Cricetulus griseus: one gene and its partners. The protein of the gene in region 1 binds, or shares a complex with, the protein of each later gene. Links are inferred from orthologs where the notes say so. Each region holds a gene or a part of one and is shown in the gene's direction. Other genes may lie near its edges.

Region 1 (7,002 bases):
ACCCATCGCTTTCTGGACTAACCCCAACCTGGACTCCAGAAGCAGCAAGCACTATTACAGATTGCCCTCTGTGCCCAAATGTTCCCATGTCATGACCTTGCGTCCTACCCCTATTATCCATAGCCAATGCAAGTTCTATGTAAACGACTTGCTTTCCTTTCTCACATTTTCATTGTAAAGGTGCTCTTGGCTGTCTTGCTGCTGGTAACCACAGAACATGTCCTGGGACCTGGACCTTTTCTGGCTAACACACATGACTCAGAAAACCCTTTATTTCCAAAGAATGCTTGTTCACAAAACTTTTGCTGAGCTCTAGACACGCAGAAGAGCAGCTATGTGTATCTCACAATCCCATCAAATTGGCAGATCAAATTGTCACAGTGGACTAAGCATTTTGCAATCCTCACTTAAGTCTTCAAAGCAGCTATTATCCTCATTTTACAGGAAGGGAAACCACGGCTCTTTATTTGCCCAAGGTCAGCAGAATAAATAATAGAACCAGAATCCAGATCTGAAGCCTAGGGCTCATCCACCCAACCACTGGCTACTAGCTGACCTTTAAGACAAATACTGGGCTAAAGAGGAATGAGAAGTTGTCAATCTACTTCTATGTTCCCTGTAGTCAGTAAAGCACAGGTAGGCCATCTAATCTGTGCATACCCTGACCACAGGCTCCAAATTAGGGACTAATCCGATGGCACAAAGAGAGGCCTTTCCCCTTTTCCACCTTGTGAAGCAATGCAGGAAAATTTGCAAATTAAACAAAGTCATTCAAAAACTTAAAAATAGAATTAGTTGCATGATTATGCTATTGCACTTCTAGGCACAGATTCCAAAAGAACAAAAGCAGAGACTCGAGTGAGGTATTTGTACACTCATGTTCATGGCAGCACTGTCTAATAGGTAAACCTATGAGCAAATAGTGTCCAGACATAACTTGAAAATGAAGACCATGTATGAAATGGAACTGTTCAGCCTTAGGCAAGAAATCATGATGCATGAGTACTGTGATTAAGGTCCCTTGTCAGATTTATACAGATGAAGTAGGTGACTGCCAGGGAGCTGTGGAAAGTGATATTAGGGAACTGTGTTTTTTTTTCTTTGTGTGCCTGTGTACCTGTTGATGATGAGCACTGTCCTCTATCACTCTTTTTTTTTTTTTTTTTTTTTTTTGGTTTTTCGAGACAGGGTTTCTCTGTGTAGCTTTGGAGCCTATCCTGGTACTTCCTCTGGAGACCAGGCTGGCCTCGAACTCACAGAGATCCGCCTGCCTCTGCCTCCCGAGTGCTGGGATTAAAGGCGTGTGCCACCAACGCCTGGCTGCCTCTTATCATCTTAAGCTCATTTTTTGAGAACAGGTCTCTCTTGAACCTAAAGCTCAGCAAGTCCTGGATCTACTGTCTTAGTCCTACCCATCACCCCAGTGCTGGGGTTACAGTTGCAGCGTGTGGGTGCTGGAAATGCTGGTATATCAAGCATTTTACCCACTAAGCCATCTTGCAGCCTGATACTGGGGAACTGTTTAATAGTGGTGATGCCTATGAAACAGTATAGATAAACATGAGCCAAGAACCACCAACGGGGCGTTGGTGGCGCACGCCTTTAATCCCAACACTCGGGAGGCAGAGGCAGGCGGATCTCTGTGAGTTCGAGGCCAGCCTGGTCTCCAGAGCGAGTACCAGGATAGGCTCCAAACCTACACAGAGAAACCCTGTCTCAAAAAAACCAAAAAACCCAAAAAAACAAACAAACAAAAAAGCCCATGCACTAAGTGTTAAATTTTGTTATGCATATTTTACCATACTAACAACAAAAACTATAAAGACTTGGGGGAAAATTGTTCATGAGTCTCAGTGCAATTCTATTGACATGTTTTAAATCTTTTTTCTATTATTAGCATTGTCATAGTTATGCATTACAAGAATATGTTTTTTTGGACAATTACAAAACCCAAGTAGAGGTCTGGATTTAGGAAGTAGCCATTTTAAGTTACTCTATCAGAGGTGTAATCCTGGTGTCATTACTGTCCACGATATAGACTGGTACATAAGAAGCTCCCGGGACACCTAGATCTCACCGTCATGGGAACTCTGGGTTAATGGGGGCCTTGGTGTCCTGACTGATGAAGAATCATTGGGGCTATTCACATTCCCTAAATTTCTCTGGCAAAGGCTTCCTTACTTCTAGGGGCAGCTCACTCTGGTTTCGGAATTAAACACACCTCATATGCTGCCGTAATTTTAAAGAAAAAAAAAAAGGGAGGGGGAGAATCACAGAGCCTCTTGTCAGGAAGTTAATGTTTTCTCTAGTTAATGATCTTTCTCAATAACCTTTACAAGGAGCTTCAAGTCAGCAGACTGTAGGATAAACCTGACTGGTAGAAGGTTCTAACCTTCAGGATGCTCCTTGCAAAAATCTGGCTTCTCTTAAAATCTGAAACTTTGGACCAGTACTTCATTTATCCACAAGTAGTGGCAGAGGCGGGGTAACACTCGCTAACTTGCCGCAATCCCTTTCTTTCGGTTCTATTCTTTTCAAGCAAGTCTTTTAACGACACTGTGGTCCCATGTGGTCGTCTTGTCTACTGAGAACTTTGTTAGGGAGATGGCATGGGCCCGGCCCCTGCCAGGATCAGCCGGCCTTCTGGCGCGGACTCCGGGAGCGCCGGTCAGCCCCTCTTTGCACGGGAGTCACGGATCGCTAGGGCCTGCGTGCAAGTCCACAGACCTGTGCCCTAGTCGGGTCCTGAGCCCGACACCTACCTCGCGGGCTCAGAAGCAGGACCGACCTGCACGCCGCGGGGCAAGAATCTCGCGGTCCCTGTCGGGGCTGCTGAGCACAGACAACCGGGAGCCGCCCCTCACCCGGCAGCTAGCGGTCCCCGGGCTCGTACCTCAGGCGCGTGGGCCGCCCGTACACATCTGGCTGTGCACGCGCACAGGCATCTAGGCGCCGGCGGAAGGAACGCAGGATGGGCCCAACCACTGCGCACACAGGAAAGACCCGGAGAGAATGAGGACGGCAGGAGGATGGAGGGAAGAAGAGAGGGTCACACCATGACCCCGCGGTGAAGATAAATCTGTCACATTAGTTCTGCGGGACTCATCCAGGGCTCTGTCTGGGTCGCGCCGACTCCGCGGCGAACTTTTTGAGCCTGTTTACCCCTAGGCCAACGATAGACCGGAAGGACAGGGGCGGGATTTGCGCAGGCGCAGTGTGGCCGGCAGCATGGCATCCAAAGCTAAGAAGCGAGCGTTGGGAAACGGGGTTCAGCGGCCTCTGGGACAGCAGGACCAGCGCGAGGAGGAAGAAGAGGATGAGGTGGAGGGTGAGGAAGAAGACGATGAAGACAGTGACGAGGAAGAGGATGAAGACGAGATCGTGGACGAGGTGAGGCACATGTGACCATATTTTTGGGAGAAAACAAAATTCAGGCAACCGAAGCTGTGGTAAAGTGATAGTCGCTGTGGTTCAGGAGTTGAACCTTACGTGGTACATTCTTACCCAGGTTCTCACCTCAGGCTTTTCTACACATAACTCCTTGAAGCCCTGCCCGGGTGAATTACATCCCCCAGAAGCCGGCCAATCCCACACACACTTACTTCAGTGGCCCAAGTCTTTACTGGCCCAGCGTACCGACGAAGTTTCTTCTCTCCTCTCCCTGCTACACTGGCTTGCTCACTCTGGCCCTTTGCAGTTTCGTAAAGGCTACCTGCATTGTCCTACACTCTTCAAACGCTCTTCATCCTGCATAGTTTCCCCTTCGTTATGTCTGTCTGTCTGTCTGTCTGTCTAATCACAGCTAGACCGTATTTCCTGCCTCCCTGGGACAGCCAACGTGGTCAGATTTGGTTTTGTGGTCTCACAGAACTGATGTCCTTTCTTAGTACCTACTTTCCGGTGGTTGAAGCCCTTCTTTCTAGGTGAATGATTAGGATTCAAACAGTGTTCAAGACAATTGCTGTCTAGGGACTTCAGACTTGACGGTCCAAAGCAGGGTTTATAATAGTTCCCCAGTTTGCCGGTGTTATGCCTCCTATCTCACCCCTCACCCAGTCCATCAGTAAATTCTATTAGCTTTTTCCTTCAGTATCCAGGCACATATTGATCCTGCTACTATTCTAGTTCACACTTCCATCATCTCTTGTCTGGTTACTATAAAGGTTTTCCTTTTTTTTTTTTTTTTTTTTAGATGAAATTAAGACTGGGATAGCCACAGCGAAATTACCTGTAACTTTATTTTGTTGTTTTTGAAGTGCTGCGAATCAAACCCAGTATACTGTGCATGGTAGGCAAGCACTTTACCATTGAGTCATACTTCCAGCCATCTATAGTAGCTTTTCACTGTCATGCCTTTCCATTTTTGTCCTTCTACTGTCTGTACTCCATTTACTGCCAGAGAGATCTGGCTGGTCTATTCTACTCTCCCTCATTGAATGCTCTAATGGCTTCCTATTTCCTTTGTAGAAAAATCCTAAATCCTGTTTTTGAAAGACAGGGGGATGGGGTGGGGGTGGGGTAGAATATGGATTCAGCCAGGATGGCTGGCTCAGAACAGGCAAGAGAGAATGAGTGAAAATGGTCATTGACGTGAATGTGCAAGGGAGGAGGAGTTGAACTGTAGTGCGGCTTTGGGAATGAGGCTATGATGTGGATATGTAGCTTGTCTACCCTTCCAAGTCATTGCTTTGCTTTGTCTATCTTGCTTTGAACACCATCTCAACATTTTCACTTAGAAAAATGTTTACCAGCTGTTTTGCTACCTTAGGGTTTTAGAAGTCAGCACTTCTTTCATTAACATGGGAAAATCTTAACAGATTGCCAGTGACTAAAAATGTGTGTACTGTAATTATAAAATGTGGGGAGAGGGAACCACAGATGAGAGATTTCCTCAATCACGTTGGCCTGTGTGCTTGTCTGTGGGCATCTGCTTAATTAATTGATATGGGAGAGTTCAGTGCACTGTGAGTGATGCCACCCCTGGTCCTGGGTGGTATAAACAAGCCAGTAAACAGTGGTCTCTGTGGTTTGCTTCAGTCAGTTCTGGCCCTGAGTTCCTGTCCTGACTTCCCTCCACAAGGAAGAATTACCTGGAAGTGTAAGATAAAAGAAACCCTTTCCCTCCCAAGTTGCTTTTGGTCATGCTGTTTTTCACAGCAACAGAAAGAATGCCATCATTGATAATAGTGTAGCAATATAAGCACTTACATGCTCTGTTAGTGGAAGCATAAATCTGTGCAACTTCTTTGGAGGGTAATTTGACAGAATTTATCAAAATTTAAAGTACATATAACTCCTGACTCAGTAACTTGTAGGAATTTACCCTCTAGAAATTGACAGTGATAATAACAATAACTATATATACCCCCAGGCTCTGTGCATTTTGTATTAGCTCATTTAATTCTCATATCAGCACCATAAACTTAGGAATTGTCACTATTTTACAAGTTAGCCCACACAGCAAGTTAAGGCAAAATGTGTATATATAGTTATGTAGAGGAAAAAAGAAACAAAGGTGGGGTGGGGGGGATCCATCAGCTTCTGTGTTTGTTGTTTGACAGTACCGTGAAGAGAAGAGGAAATCCTTGGTGGGTATTTCTTCCTTCATTTAATTGAAGAAGGCTTTCATTTTCTGATACATTTATTCACCCACAATTAATTTCTCTGATGTAAAAGTCCATGAAAATTATCCTGGAAGATCAGAATCAATCTCAAACCTTTTAAAAAACAATGGTCTATCAAGAATAAAGGAATGTGTATAGCTCAGGTCCTGCAGAGGTAGCTTTTTCTCTTGGATTCTGTTGCTAGCTGCTTACCAAAGTGGTTAGAGGACTGGGGGACATATGCCTTCTTTTTTTTTTGGGGGGGGGCGGTTCGGGACAGGGTTTCTCTGTGGCTTTGAAGCCTATCCTGGAACTTGCTCTGTAGATCAGGCTGGCCTCGAACTCACAGAGATCCCCTGCCTCTGCCTCCCTGAGTGCTGGGATTAAAGGTGTGTGCCACCAACTCCCGGCTTTAAGTATGTACTTTCAATTTATTTGTATGTGTATGTGCCATAGCCAGATGTGTAAATGTCAGAGGGCAGCTGTAGGAGTCGGTTCTCTGATTTTACCTACTGTGTGGGTCTTTTTGTATTTATTTATTTGTTTGTTTATTTATTTATTTATTTATTTATTTATTTATTTATTTGAGACAGGGCTTCTCTGTGTAATAGTCTTGGCTATCCTGGAACTCATTTGTAGACCAGGCTGGTCTTGAATCTCATTGAGATACGTCTGCCTCTGCCCAAGTGTTGGAATTAAAGGTGTGCGCCACCACGGCCCAGCACTCCTGAGCTATCTTACCATCATCCCCATATTCTTTTACAGATTTATTTAAAATCCCTCTTCTCTGGGTTTATGTACTTGCTCGTGGTCGTGGGAAAATGCACATGCTCATATCCCATAGTACACATGTGGAAATTAGAAGACAATTTGCAGCAACCAGTTCTCTTCCCACCATCTCAGTCCAGGAATTGAACTCACGTAGTCAGTTTTGGCAGTAAGTGCTTTTACCTGCTGCACTCTCTCTGCCCGTCCCTCCCCCATTTGAATGGCACATACAGTTGAAACTTTAGACTTGTTTTCTGTCTGCTGTGTCTGCTCCACAAGAGCAGTCATTCCCATCTGCTTTGCTCACCATTTCATCCCCTATTTATTTATTTATTGGTGTGGTCTTGCTATGTCACTTGTTTGACCTTGAACTCACATCTTTACCTTCAACTCCCATCGCCCTTCCTCATTTTCTGGAGTGCTGGGATCGAAGGCCTGTGCCACCAGGCGAGGCTTCACCATTTCCTCTCAAGGCTTGGTACCTGCTGTTACTTAGTAAATATTTGCCAAGTGACAGAATGTAGCCTCACATCTCTGGGTCAATTAAGCTCTAGGCAGTTTCTGGGGACTTAGAAGTAATCTTGTCTTTTCAATTGCTTTTTGAAGCCAGGTGAATAATCTTTTTTTTTTT
Region 2 (7,060 bases), on another chromosome or scaffold:
GTCACTGCCAGTGCAGTGCAAGCTCTGGCTGGGCCCTCTTGCCAGGATCCCCTGACAACTTTCTAATTATGTTGAAGCTCTTCTTCAGCCCCACAGGACACATTGCAGGTGTGAGCAAATAACTCAGCCTGCTTATGGCTTACTGTAGTTTGGACTTTGTTTTTCTCACTCCTTCTGTTGGAAGCTTAAAAGACAGAACAAAATAATGAGAGTGGAGCTAAACTATTGTTGTTGTTTTTCCAATGCAGTGTATTTAAGGCATGGAGAGTCATTTTATTATTATTTTAAGAAAAGGCAAAATTCTTATCAGCCTTTGATGAAAATATTTCCTGACAATCTATCAAAAATATTATGTCCCTCTCCGTGTGTGTGTGTGTGTGTGTGTGTGTGTGTGTGTGTGTGTGTGTGTGTAGGGAAATTAAATTCAGAGCCAGGCAAACTCTCTATCATTGAGCTATATCCACAGTACTCTCTTCTCCCACTGGCTCCCTCCCCACAATGCTTGCTTCAGTTTCCACTGGGAAGGAAGAACTAAACCAGGGACATCTCATTCAGTCAATGAAGACTAAATAACATTCACAGTCAAATGGTTGTGGGGGGTGCAAGGCCTGACCTCAAAATTTACTGGTTGTGAATTTGTGAGGCTCCCATTAATTCTTAGTCCTTTGTTTCCAAACCCCTATAACACTGAAGGCCTTCTTGACTGGAAGACTGTGAGGTGTGTGTGGAAAGAGCTCAGTAGTACCTCACACATGTAATCATGTCACTCAGGAGGATGCTTGAATTTGAGGCTTTTCTGAGCTGCTCAGCGATATTCTCTCTCTCTCTCTCTCTCTCTCTCTCTCTCTCTCTCTCTCTCTCTCTCTCTCTCTCTCTCTCTCTCTCTCCTCTCTCTCTCACACACACACACACTTTTCATATATATGAAATGTGTTGTTAGGCAGAGTTCATGGTTGGACACGTCCTGAAAGAAAGCGGTGGGCTTATAAGAACAACGTAGGGGTCCAGGGCTCCTTCAATTCCTCAACCCAATTTGGCCTAGGCCTTGTTTATGCTAAGGAAGCCTGGCCTCCAGTCGAGTTTCTCCATTTTGGGGACTCGGCTTCGCAGGGCACCAGCAGGGGGCGGCGTTGTCCCGCAGCTAGATCTGCGTGGGCGACACCCCCGCACCCCATCCCTCAACTCAGAGCGGTACAGGTTGGACTTCTAGGCTAGAGCTCCCCAAATCCAGAGGCTGGGTTTCTGCAGTTGTGCAGGGCCTTGGGGGAAATGTTTGTTCATCTCAGGGCCTGTCCTCTCTATCCGGCCTGCAGAGGCCCACAGCCTCTACCTGGAGCTAGGGCGGCTGAGCATTACTTTGGAAAGAGGCAGCGGGTGGAGGAAGTGGGCAAGCAAAAGCGGGGAGCTTTCTAACAAACACCATGGTGCCAGAGCGCGGAGATAACCTTTCCAATCCTTAAGAGCTACACCAGCGTCTAAAGCTGGAGGGGAGAAACTTCGCATCTTTTAAATTTGTCCTTTCTGTCTGGTAAGAAGCAAGACCCTACCTAGATCACTGACATTTTTATTCACTTTAGAACTGAGAACTTCAGAGGCTGCGAGGAACGCGCTTCGCCTCTTAGGTCTGCGCGGAAGGACCGCCACCCTGGCGGCCTCTTTCGTACACTGCTGGGGTTGCGCTCCGCGACCCCGCCATTGGCCACGCGCCCGCGGAGCTGCGCGATGGGTGACGCGCTCCCGTCCCGCTCGCCCTCAGTAGCTAGATGCGCACTAAGGCTGGCTGGCCCCCAACTTCCCCAGCACTTCTCGAGGTTTCCAGAATCGAAACTCAGTTCTCAGCAAACCCTCCCCCTCCCGCACAGAGACTGATGTGCGTGACAAGTTGCCTCTGGAGACCACACTTGGCCCAGAGTCCATAGTGGAATCGGACGTCTAGCCACAAACGGACACTGTTGGAGGAACCTCCAGGAGACCCAGAGTTACGCGGCAGTGACGCGCTGCACCAGACCAGAAGACAAGGCTTGGGAAGTTTCTGGAGTTGTGCGATTTTTAACCCTGATCCAGTTTTGATGGCTGGTTATCACATTTGGGGCGTTCAAAAGTGTCTCCTCTTTGGGGGTGTGTGCGAGGACGTGCAGAAATAGATAAATCTACACGTATGCGCCACAGGCATCTGCTATTGCACACAGCCAGGGGCTGCGCACCCTGGCCGGCAGCCAGCAGCTCCGAGCTCGGCGACTGTCCACCCAGCGACTGCCCGCGGGGGTGGCGCTGGGGGCGGTGCCCTATGCAAATGAGAGGGTGTGGCGATCGCCGCTCTCTGGGGCCCCGGAAGCGCGGAGAAGCCCGGTATAAAAAAAGTACTGAAGACATTTCCCCCGCACAATTGCTAAAGCTCCAGAGACGCGAGTGTGCGCGGCGGCATTGGCGGCATCGAGAGCCGCCACCTCCGAGACCACCGCAGCGGGGCGCGCGGGCGGGGCGCGGGCGAGGGGCGGAACGCTCAGGGCGCGGCGGGGGTCTGCGCGGAGAAGTCGCGGGCCGCTGCCGGGAGCGCACTCGCAGCTCTTGCGAAGTGTGTCCGCCTCGCGGTTCCTCGCTCGCCTGCGCTCCTAGAAGGGGCGGCCGTCTCCAGGTGACACAGACGGGACTCTCGCTTGCGCTTTCCAGATGCATCAGAGATACTTTTGGTGCGGGGCTGCTCTGCGGGGCACGGCGCGCGGCTGGGCACTGGGGTGGGTCGGGGAAGGAGGGCTACTCTGGGTAGCTCCAGGCGGGTCAAAATCGGGGAGGTGAAGCCCAGGCCCCTCGGAGGGTCCCTGTCCCCGCACCCGCGCACCTCCCTGCCGTTCTCCTCAACCCACTCTTATCTTTTAGGACTGACCAAGGCCAAGTGGCATTCGGCGGGCACTACATGGCCGAGGGCGAAGGGTACTTTGCCATGGCGGAGGACGAGCTGACCTGCGGCCCCTACATCCCCCTGGGTGGTGACTTCGGCGGCGGCGGCAGCAGCTTCGGCGACCGCTGCTTGGACTATTGCGAAAGCCCCACGGCTCACTGCAATGTGCTGAACTGGGAGCAAGTGCAGCGGCTGGACGGCATCCTGAGCGAGACCATCCCGATCCACGGGCGCGGCAACTTCCCCACGCTCGAGCTGCAGCCGAGCCTGATTGTGAAGGTGGTGCGGAGGCGCCTGGAGGAGAAGAGCATAGGTGTCCGCGACGTGCGTCTCAATGGCTCGGCCGCCAGTCATGTCCTGCACCAGGACAGTGGCCTGGGCTACAAGGACCTGGACCTCATCTTCTGCGCGGATCTGCGTGGGGAAGAGGAGTTTCAGACTGTGAAGGATGTCGTGCTGGATTGCCTGTTGGACTTCTTGCCCGAAGGGGTGAACAAGGAGAAGATCACACCGCTCACTCTCAAGGTAAAGCCACTTGGAGATGATGGGCTTGGGTACAGAGGCGGGCTTGGGGTGCTGACAGAAGGCAAGCCTGACTTGCCTTAATTGCCGCTAATTCGGCCCCGGTGCGGACGCTTATTTATTTTTGATTTTTTTTTCCACGAGTGAAGTAAGGTGAGAGAATGGTGTGGAGTGTTTCAGTTTTCCAGGAGCTTCAGTGTCACAACTCTCTGCTTCCTCCTTTGCATTCCCTTCTCTTCCTTATCTGTATGGTTTAACTCTTGACTTTCCTTTCTGGACTCCTGTCCAGAGTACATTCTGATTGGTGGAAGATTGGAATGATGTAAACATTCTTTTTTTTTTTTTTTTTTTTTTTGAGTCATCTTGTGATCTAGGCTTTGGGAAAATAGCAGCTCGAAGCAGAATTGAGTTAATGGGTTTTTATTGTGTTGGAAAATGTGAATAGGTTCCTACTCAAGGTTCAAATGACTTCAGCATTTAAAATATTGGTGATTCTCCCGGCTAATTTACATGTTGAGGATGTAATATTATGCCCCTCCCCTTCGGTTTAGGTGGCATTTTGTATAATTAATTAAAGTTGTCTGAAGGCAATTTAGTTCCTCTTTAGCTGTAACTGTAGAGTGTCACCGGAGGGACATACTAGAGACTGATAAGATTGATTGCCTATGGGGGAGGAGAACCGGTGGCTGGCTGGGGACTAGGGTCAGAGCCACACTCCCAACACTGTCTGCTTTTCTGTGGATACTGAGTGAATATTGAGCCTATTAGACCATCTTCAAAAAATAACATTTGAAGTCAGACATGACAACAGAACCTCTTAGTACTCTGCTGCGTCTGCCAAAAGCCTCAAACTATTACTTCTAGTCTCTTTCCCAGACGGCAAAACTACTCGTTAAATTTTTTTTTCCTGTTTTCCTAAGACTGTTTAAGCTCATAGGTAGTGTTTTGCTGAAACTTGACATAACAAACAGGAAGCAGCGAAATAATTCTCAGCCGAGAAGCTGAGATATATTTATTGTTCTTCAACACCCCTCCTCCCCGCCTGTTTTGCTCATCTTGTTTCATCTTTTAAACTGTAGGAAGCTTACGTACAGAAAATGGTTAAAGTGTGCAACGACTCGGACCGGTGGAGCCTCATATCCCTGTCAAACAACAGCGGCAAAAACGTGGAGCTGAAGTTTGTGGATTCTCTCCGGAGGCAGTTCGAGTTCAGTGTAGATTCTTTCCAAATCAAATTAGACTCTCTCCTCCTCTTCTACGAGTGTTCTGAGAACCCAATGACAGAAACATTTCATCCCACAATAATTGGCGAGAGTGTCTACGGGGATTTCCACGAAGCCTTTGATCACCTTTGCAACAAGATCATTGCTACCAGGAACCCAGAGGAAATAAGAGGGGGAGGCCTTCTTAAGTACTGCAACCTCTTAGTGAGGGGCTTCAGGCCCGCCTCGGATGAGATCAAGACCCTCCAGAGGTACATGTGTTCCAGGTTTTTTATCGACTTCTCAGACATTGGAGAGCAGCAGAGAAAGCTGGAATCCTACTTGCAGAACCACTTCGTGGGCTTGGAAGACCGCAAGTATGACTATCTCATGACCCTTCATGGAGTGGTAAATGAGAGTACAGTGTGCCTGATGGGACATGAAAGGAGGCAGACTTTAAACCTTATCACCATGCTGGCAATCCGGGTGCTAGCCGACCAAAATGTCATCCCTAACGTGGCTAATGTCACTTGCTATTACCAGCCCGCCCCCTATGTTGCAGATGCTAACTTTAGCAATTACTACATTGCACAAGTTCAGCCAGTGTTCACATGCCAGCAGCAGACATACTCCACTTGGTTACCCTGCAATTAAAAATCACTTAAAAATGTCCTGTGGGGAAGCCATTTCAGACAAGATAGAAACAAACAAAAAGAAAGAAAGAAAGAAAGAAAGAAAGAAAGAAAGAAAGAAAGAAAGAAAAATACAAAACAACAACAACAACAAAAGGGAGTGACCCATCCCTAGTTAGGGATGCGTTTTGTGCACTGGGGGCATGCTCCTGATTGCTTGGAAAGGCTTATGGATCTTTCCATTGATACAGGAAGGAGCATGATCTCAAGTTGTCACCCTCCTTAGCCACCCACCCCTGTGGTCTCTACCCAATTGGATTGTACCTTCAAACAAGAGGCCCATTAGTAAAAGCAGCCAAGTTCTCCCAAGATAACAAGGGGATTTAAAAAATAAATGGCTTGATTGTTGACAATATGGGTTTGCAGCAACTACTCCCATAGCTCTGCCACAGGGGAGAGGGGATGGTGGGAAAACTTTTAAAATGGCATTCCCAGAAGGGAAAATACATCGGAGAAAATCCTTGTCTATCAGTTGAGGATGTCAGAAAGTAACAACATGGGAAATGAGGGGCTCCTTTCTGGGGACTACAATCTATCTTGCAACAAAGTGCTTTCTCTGGAAGGACCCCTTTCTCCTCACAGAAACTGCTGAATCCAAATGAACAGTAGTAGTTTGATGCTGTTCTCGTAAAGAACAGTGGAACTCAATGATGATGATAACAACCCATTAATTCCAGCTTTGTGTATAGCTCGCGTTCTTAAAATGTGAAGACGCAAGCAAAACCAGCTGTAGCCAAGAAAATATGCTCAAGGACCAAAGATTTAACAGAAATCCCCAAGTAGAAGTGATAGACTAGGGTACAGAAAGAGTTACTATATTTGTTACACACCAATACACATCAAAGTGCCTGTTGCTTTCAGAGGATTTGAAGTGGAAAAGGTTATTTTATGGTTTAATGATTATTTTATTTTATCAGGGACTCAAGAAAAATAAAACAACATATAAGCTTGTGAATGGTGAAGGAAATGCCCTATTTTTTCTTGGCAAAAACCTATATAAAGTTGATATTGTTTGGTGTGATGTTATCATAGGTACGTGTGCGTATATTGTTTGTGTGTATATACACACCCATATATGTGACATATATATGATATGTGTGTGTATATACACACACTCCTTTGTCTATTACCTAAAACAATGTATCAAATAGGAAATTTTGAAATACTGTGCATTTTATGTTTATGGTAGGATCATAGAAGACATGGGCATATTGCAATGACAAATTAAAACCCATATAAAATAAGAGAAATGGAGAGAAATGAGTAATATATTTGATAGGAAGAGCAGATATTATACATTTTTAGTGAGTTTTTTCCTTCTTTTCAGTGAACCAGAGAATTTCACAAATGGGAGAATATTTGGTAGAACACTTTTTAATTGACTTGACCTGACATTTTGACAGTCTGAGCCCCTTCCCCTTAAGTAAACAGAATCACATGCCTTCAAGGCATAGAACTTGTAGATCATGGACCAGATATAGGATAATTAATCCATAATTGCTAAAAAGAATTTCTGGGACCTGAACACTACTTAATATTTAGATGAACATACAAATGAGTACATTCTGCATTTTGGACCACTAGAATTTAATAAATGTGAAATGTCCCTTTTTAAAGAGTATTTGCACAACTACATAAAGTTTATATATAGGATATATATTATATATACATTTTATAAATTTATGCCAATATGAAACATGTTTGATCTGGTTGTCACACTGCATAGAAATATTTAGTACTGTATA
Region 3 (7,213 bases), on another chromosome or scaffold:
CAGGACACAAAACACTAGGCCTTAAAAATAAGCAAAGATTGATAAATTGGGCTGATTAAAAATTAAGAAATTATTTTAATCAGAAAGTAACATTAAACTGTAAGTCAGCCACAGGTTGAGAGAAAGTATTTGAAACAAAGGACTTATATCAAGAATATGTAAAGAACTTGTAGAGTTCAAACTGGCAAACGACATGAATAGATACATCCCTTAAAGACCATCATAATGGATGGTAAACATCTGAAAAGTTGCTCAATCGAATTGATCACCAGAGAAACAATGTTTAATTACAATGAAATGCACATCCCTGTTTTTAATTTAAAGAGGAAACACTTGGGCCCGGGAGATGGCTCAGCGAGCAAAGCTGCTTGTGGCCAAGCCCGATGAGGACCTGAATCCAACCCCCAGATCCTACACCTTGGGAGGAGAGAACCCACTCCCAAGTGCTGTCCTATGACCTCCACATACCCACTGTGGTATGCACACCACCCTCCAACAAGAAAATATAGTTAAAACATTTTAAACACCTTGATACCAAAAGTGGTAAATATGTGTTATCATCACCAGGAATCTTACAGTACTGGTTGAACATAAACAGTTTATCCCTTTTGTTTTAAAAAATGTATCTATTTTTTTGTTTTATGGTTTAAGTTTTTATTTTTTCCTTGGTTATTTTTCATACTCAGATCACTGGCAATATATTTAAAGCTTAACATGTGTATACTCTGTAAACCAGAAGTTCCAATCCCTAGCATGTGTGTGACATGAATGATGCTTCTACACATAGAAGACTATTTTCAGCAAATTCACTATGGACTGTCCAAAAACCTGAAGCAACTGAAATGGCTACCAAACAGTAAATTGAGAACATAAACTGTTGGTTATTGAACGAATATGCAGTAGTGAAGAATGAGTCACTGTTACATACAACAGAGAAATCTTACAGACAGAAAAATTCTCACTCTCTATTTCAAGTTCATGTCAAGTTCAAATACCAGTGCAACTGAACCCTATGAGATAGTGAGTGGCAGGAGCCATGGCTAAGCTGGACTATTGTGGGTGACAGCCCTGTGGGTACTCACACCCATCATTCAGCACACAATAATAGACACTGTGAGACCATTCAGTGCTCACACCATCAACAACAAAACTGACCACCTACCCCTGAATTTGTGTTCAAGAACAGGGACACCCAATCTCTGTAAGTTCTCATACTGATGTCTTATACTGTTACAATTTCCCCTCCCCCCACCAGAGAAAGCCTGTACTTGAGAACTCTTCGCAGCCTAGCAGACACTGCAGGGCACTCATGCTAGGCAGGGGTGGTAGGAGAGCAGAGAACACTGATTCAGGAAGTCATCTTGCACCCCAGGTACCCAGGAGAGAGTCAAAGGAAGCTCAACAAGTGTTTATTAATGACTGCTTTCTGACTTACACAGCACCTGGCATGCACTTTATTTCAAGCAGTGCATGATTAATAACTATTTTCCTAATTTTGTTGTTGTTGTCGTTTTGTTTTCGAGATAGAGTTTCTCTGTATAACAGCCCTGGCTGTCCTGGAACTCACTCTGTAGACCAGGCTGGCCTCGAACTCGCAGAGATCTGCTTGTCTCTGCCTCCTGAGTGCGGGGGGATAAAGGTGTGCACCACCACCACCACCACCACCACCACCAGGCCTATTTTCCTAATATTGGTCTCAGTTATCCCATCCTTACTCCTATCCTGCAGATGGGAAGTAGAGGTTCATGGAGGATAGGTTAAGCCAGTCAGGAAGGCTGGGCCTGGTAGGCCACTCCTGTAATCCCAGTCGTGGGAGGTGCACACTGGAGGATCAGTTAAAGGTCAGCCAAGGCTACTTAGAGGCCTGTCTGGGTTCAGGAGACATTGTCTCAAAAACCCAAACCCCAAATAAAACAAAAACAGCTCCTCTCAAGGCCCTCCAGATATATAGTGGTGAAGGAGATTCCCACTCATTAGCCTGAATTCTGAAGCAGAGCGAGCCATCAACCAACCACGTGTAGGGGTGTTAAGGGCAGTGTCCGGGGTCCCCCGCCCGGCGGGTATTAACAGGTCACAAAGCCCTTTGCCGTTCGTTCTGAGGGCCTAGATGCTGTGCTTTAGGCTTTTGTGATGGGTTCCGGGGCCACTAACTAACTGCACACAGGTGGTCCCGCGGCCAGAAAATCAGCTGCTTCCTTTCCTCCAGGACCACGATCTCACCTCCAGCCAATTTGCTCGAGGAATAAGATTTCCAGGACCCACCTAAAAGTTTTCTGATTTCACAAACACCCCGCGAGACAGGCGTGGGCTTCCACTCCCGGCTCCCGGAATCAGGGAGCCACTGGTGCCAAGAGCGCCCAAAATTCAGAAAGAAAACGCAACCCACAGGGAGCAAGAATGGTGGAGGTGAGAACTCTCGGGGCAAGGGAAGGCAAAGACCAGGAGCCGCAGAGAAGGAGGCGAGCGGACAGAGCGAAAGTGTCCCCTCAACTCCTAAATTGGTGGCGACACAGCCCCCTCTCTATTGCGCCTGCGCAACGCTGCCTCCGGGCTACCCCGCCCCTTCGCGCCTCCGGAGGTTTACTTGTCTCTCGGCAACCATTGACCCGCAGAGCCAATCAGAGGGCGGCATTCGCCCGGGCCCCCGCCGTTAGCGCCGGGCGCAAGGATCCCGCGGGGCCGCGGCCGGCGCGCCCCGCCCTGGCTCCCCCGGGAGGCCGGCCGCGGGCGGGGGCAGGGGCGGGGAGGCGCGGGGGAGTGGTCAGGCCGGTTAAGATCGGAGGGGGCGGCGGCGGGACCGCTCACTCGCGGCAGCTGCCTGGGGGCCATAGTCACCGCGCCGCTCCTGCTCGGGGCTGCCCACGCCAACCACCTGCCTCTGTCGCCTCCTCTTCCAGCGTCCAGGTGAGTCTGCGCTCCTCTTCCTCCGCAGGTGTGAGGATGCTGCTGCGGTCCAGCGGGGAGCCACGCTCTCACGCTCCCGGGTTCGTCCCAGCAGAGCCTGGTGGGATTCCCCGGAGATGGAGGGGAGACACCGGCAGGTGTCAGGACCCGCACGGCTCCTGCGCCCCTGGCTCAGGCTACCTCCGTGAGAGAGCGCAAACTTTTCAGAGACTATGACCGGGGTCTGGCAAACTTGGGCGAGCTCCTGCTGGCCCGGCAACAGGAGAGTGGGTGGCGATCACTTCTTGCTCTTTCATTGACCCTGCCAGTAGGTCCGTCGGCTCTGCGCTGCGCCCCTGTGGTGCGCACACTGCAGCCAGAACCGGGGCGGTTTTGAACCCCGCGGTTTCGGCGGCTTAGATGGAGACGCTGCGGTCCGGGGTTAGAGCCTGGCAGGCGAGGGGAGGGCAGCTTCCTGGGCTCAGTGCCCAGGATGGCGGCAGAGATCATTCTCTCTTCTGGGACTGTGGACATTGCGCGCGGCCAAGAAGCTGCGCGTCTCTCGGAAACTTCTCGAGAATACGGCGACTGAGAAACCTGGTTCCTCCCCTTGGGGATCGAAAGTTGCCTACCGCGTGTGCTGAAAGTCGTGCAGAGTTAGTTGACTCTGATAGCGGTGCTGTTGGTGACTTAGAGGCGCGGCTGCCCGTTGCGGTGTGGGTACCCTTTACCGCCGTTCGCGAAGAGGGTGGGTGGGACATCTGAGGAAGTTGAGGAACCTGCAGTGCCAGCTGGTAGCCCTTACACCTAAGTTCTGATACTCAGTGAGCGGGCGGGCGGGCGACCTCAAAGTCAAGGGGGGGGGGCGCTGGTGAGGAAATGCCTATTTGGTTTTTCCAGAATATAGAATTTCCACCTGAGCCGATTGTCAGATCTGGGTAGTCTCAGCCCCTTTTCTCCCCTCTCCCCCTTTAAATGTGTAGAAACCCTTCTGCAGGGCCGTGACTAATTCCTGGTCTGAAATCCTTTTTGCCCCTCGATTTGAGGATAAAGTGCTGACAACGAAAGACTTAATAGACTTAACAGATTTGCAAAGAACAGCTATATATGTAACCGTTTGAATTGTGACGAGTTTGGTTCTGGAAGTAAAAGTCAAGATGGTTAGCTCCTCCTTCCAGCTGCCCCCTGGAAGGAGGGTGAGGGTGGCCATTGCTGGCTACAACTTCCAGTGTAGTTTGCTTGGCAAGGCAGTGAGTGAGCCAGAAAGCTTGCCAGGCAGCCGAGAGGGTGGAAGGAAAGCTTACCAAGAATTCTACCGTGCTGGAAGTCTCCAGAGGTGTGATTCCCCGCCCCCCCCCCACGCCCCACATTTTACCCTGCAGTTGAAGGGTGTGGGGTGGGGACTAAAGAAGGTTGAATTTCTTCTCCCTGCGGCCAGCTGGACCAACTGTGGTTCTGTCTTTTGCCATTCTTGTTTGTGAAGATCAAGTTCTTCGTAACTCTGAGCAGGTAGCTGAAGGGACACCTTGGTTTTGGAGTACCCAGATGTGAATTAGGAGCTTTTTGAAGATTCTGATGTGTAGAAGATTTTGATGTTTGTAATAATTGTTCCAGTATCTACACAGAATGTCCCTTACTGTCATTAAAATTATGGAGGTGGGGTGCTCAGCTATCTCTAGACTGTTACCAAAAGAGAGGTCCCTACTTTTGTAAGTAACTTTAGTGTGTGCACCTAGAGCAAATAGTCACACTCTTTAGGGTGAGTTTCTCCCATAATACCTGCCTTGTATCTGGAGATCAGTTTGTGAACTCTAGAGGGAAGGGTTTGGCTCTTGGCCTGTTGGTCAGAGAGTGTGTGGAGTGCTAAGGGCTCACTCTTCAGCTCCACTGCCAGTATCATTACCAAGCTTTCAGCCTGACTTGCAGCCTCCTGCATTCCCTATCCGTCTCCCAGTCAAGCACACACTTAGTCTGCATCCTCCAGTGTTCAAGACCAGGCAGATTATATGTGCCGTGCACTGCCCACCAGACAGTTCAGCCACAGCTCAGCCATGAAGGTGATTTAAAAGTGGGCTGTTGTGTGGTTAGTGAGGCTCAGCTGTTACAGAATCAGAAAACTGCATTGAATGTTTCCTTCCTTTCTTCCTTCCTTCCTTCCAGCTCCATCCACTAAGTAGTACCTTTTTCTTCATCTTTCTTCTTTGCTATGCCATCCTAGAGTCAGCCAATGAAGAAGGGCAACCGGGTTAGATCGTTGTTGCCTATATTACTGAGAAAAGCTATATAAGCCTGAGGTATGGTGGCGTTTGGGAGTTTATCTCCTTCCTGTCCCTGAAACACACAACTCTCTCTCTCTCTCTCTCTCTCTCTCTCTCTCTCTCTCTCTCTCTGTGTGTGTGTGTGTGTGTGTGTGGTGTGTGTTTGTGTGTGCTGTGTGTGTTTGTGTGTGCTGTGTGTGTGTATGTGTTTAGTCTGAGGCGTTTCCTGGACTAAGACTGGTCTGTTGCTCTCTCTCATTATTGAAGAAACGGGGAAATGTGGAAAGCTGCCCTCCACCATCTTGGTGTTTTGACTGTAGCTAATGAGGTTGTATTATGATGACGCCAACTCCTCCATATTTAAAGAAGTGCCCATGAGTTTAAAGCTACTTGAGACAACAGTAAAGCCGACCTCTTAATCTCTTGGACCATAGGTTTCTCCCACTTTTTAACCTTTTGATGGGATGCATTCCTTGTAAGGAAGCTTTTATTTAGAATTGAAATGGTCATAGAAAGTAGCATCTTTACATAACCCAACTGCATAAGGGGACCTTGTGAACTGTTTCAAATTAGTATTCTGTACAGCTGGCCCTTGTAGCTTGCTCTTGAAGTGTTTGCAGAACTTTTTGGAACAACAGAAAAAAAAACTTAATATGAAGAAATAATTACTGACATGAAGCAGATCTGTGTGCAAGGAAGCTTTATGGTTTCAGAGCATTTTCCACTGTGGGTCATTCAGCTGCAAGGAGGTGCTTATTTCTTGGATAAGGGCAGGCAGGCAGGCAGGCAGGCGGGCGGGCGGTTGGGTCAGAAAGTACTTCCTAGGTGGTATTTGGTGCCAGGTGCTTGGGAGGCTTAGGGAGTGGTATGTGAAAAGCCTGTGGAAGAGCTTTGGAGGTGAGAGCGGCTAGGCTGCCTTTATGATGCTCTTGAAGAACTTGTTTTTCTCTCAGTTGTCTCGCCCCCCTCCTCACACATGGACCCCAGAAAAGTAGGATTTCTGGTCACTCTATAGAGTCCTGATCCCTGCCTAGAGAGAGTGCATGCATGGCCTTGCATGCAGACATATTCCTCTAAAGAGAATGCACCTTCTACTGAAGGCTGCCTGTTGCTCCTCCCAGACAGAGTAGGAAGCTCGATTGGATTGAGTGTTCTGCTGGGTCAAGTCCTGGAGGATGGAGCTTCTTGCATCAGAGGCTCCTGGTCATCTTTTCAGGGAAGCCTCAGCAGTGTAGGTTTGGAGCTGAGGAGCAGTGAGTGCAAATAGATTAGCAGCTGAAACTCCTAAGCCTGGCCAGCCTCTAGCCCCACCCCCCAGCTCTCCACCCTCCCTCCTGTCCTCCCAGCCCCAGCTAGCTCACTCAGCCTTTCTCTCTCCGTGTTCACTCAGCTGCTGGCTCTGCTGACTCGTTCTTTTTTTATTTTTTATTTTTTTTGTTTCTCACTGTCATCACTGACCTGGTTTAGGGGACTGTAGACAGGAGCTGGATGAGAGTAGCAGCAGCCTCCCTGTCTCTGGCCAGAGAGATCAGTCCTCTGCCTGGAGCACTAGAGTAAGTTCCCAGGATCTGCCCATCCCTGAGATCTCCCTGTATTCCTCTAAGATGCTATTTCCTGATGCTTTCCTGGCTGCTCCATGGCAGGTGGTCCCTAACTGTCCTACCCTGCCTTGCAAAATACAGACTTTGATATTTGGGGGAGGAGGGATTGAGCACAACCCCTTCCCCCAAATGAACTTTATTTTAATATGTCTTTGGGACGTCTGTTCAGGCTCTGACAGATCTTCTCTCATCCGAGAGCCATATTTTCCCACATCTTTCTGCTCCAGTATTTTACAGTTTTCTTTTGCATATTTTCTTGTTTCTAAAAAAATAATATGGAACTAAAAGGCTTTTTTTTTTAAAGAAGCCCCCTGTTGTCTCCATATCTGGTCTCTATTTAAAAAAAAAAAGTGAAGAAAATTATTCAGGGATCATGAATCATCATCTCCTTATCCCATTCAATCCCCCTTCCCTTCTCTCCACACTTGGCCTTACAGAATGAGGCCAGCCCGGCCTGGCTGCATGCCCCTG

Evidence for each region.
Region 2: the proteins of Bccip (region 1) and Tent5a are in contact, whole or in part, in a crystal structure (PDB 8EXE), measured with the Homo sapiens proteins. The link is inferred for Cricetulus griseus from reciprocal best matches to the Homo sapiens genes BCCIP and TENT5A. Residues at the interface, in NP_510868.1 of Homo sapiens: Val57, Asn58, Ile59, Glu60, Phe61, Glu62, Ala63, Tyr64, Ser65, Leu66, Gln146, Val149, Leu150, Phe152, Cys153, Glu154, Lys155, Asn156, Cys157, Glu158, Lys159, Glu163, Lys167, Leu203, Ala204, Ala206, Thr225; in NP_060103.2 of Homo sapiens: Arg87, Gly88, Asp139, Glu151, Gln155, Lys158, Lys184, Glu185, Val188, Gln189, Lys190, Met191, Val192, Lys193, Val194, Cys195, Asn196, Asp199, Trp201, Asn213, Arg289, Lys295, Glu331, Arg334, Gln341, Asn342, His343.
Region 3: the proteins of Bccip (region 1) and Tent5c are in contact, whole or in part, in a cryo-EM structure (PDB 8EQB), measured with the Homo sapiens proteins. The link is inferred for Cricetulus griseus from reciprocal best matches to the Homo sapiens genes BCCIP and TENT5C. Residues at the interface, in NP_510868.1 of Homo sapiens: Val57, Asn58, Ile59, Glu60, Phe61, Glu62, Ala63, Tyr64, Ser65, Arg136, Gln146, Cys153, Lys155, Ala204, Gly205; in NP_060179.2 of Homo sapiens: Asp90, Asp92, Glu102, Gln106, Arg109, Lys135, Glu136, Val139, Gln140, Lys141, Leu142, Val143, Lys144, Val145, Cys146, Thr147, Asn164.

Annotation. Positions count from the first base shown.
Region 1 is NC_048596.1:67,159,228-67,166,229, reverse strand, and holds the start of Bccip (BRCA2 and CDKN1A-interacting protein), read left to right. Parts: upstream 1-3,197; 5' UTR 3,198-3,228; coding exon 3,229-3,390; intron 3,391-7,002. UniProt on the Homo sapiens protein: During interphase, required for microtubule organizing and anchoring activities. During mitosis, required for the organization and stabilization of the spindle pole.
Region 2 is NC_048597.1:195,535,653-195,542,712, reverse strand, and holds the start of Tent5a (terminal nucleotidyltransferase 5A), read left to right. Parts: upstream 1-2,420; 5' UTR 2,421-2,670; coding exon 2,671-2,690; intron 2,691-2,877; coding exon 2,878-3,424; intron 3,425-4,500; coding exon 4,501-5,277; 3' UTR 5,278-7,060.
Region 3 is NW_023276806.1:56,480,452-56,487,664, forward strand, and holds the start of Tent5c (terminal nucleotidyltransferase 5C), read left to right. Parts: upstream 1-2,649; 5' UTR 2,650-2,904; intron 2,905-7,213. UniProt on the Homo sapiens protein: Catalyzes the transfer of one adenosine molecule from an ATP to an mRNA poly(A) tail bearing a 3'-OH terminal group and enhances mRNA stability and gene expression.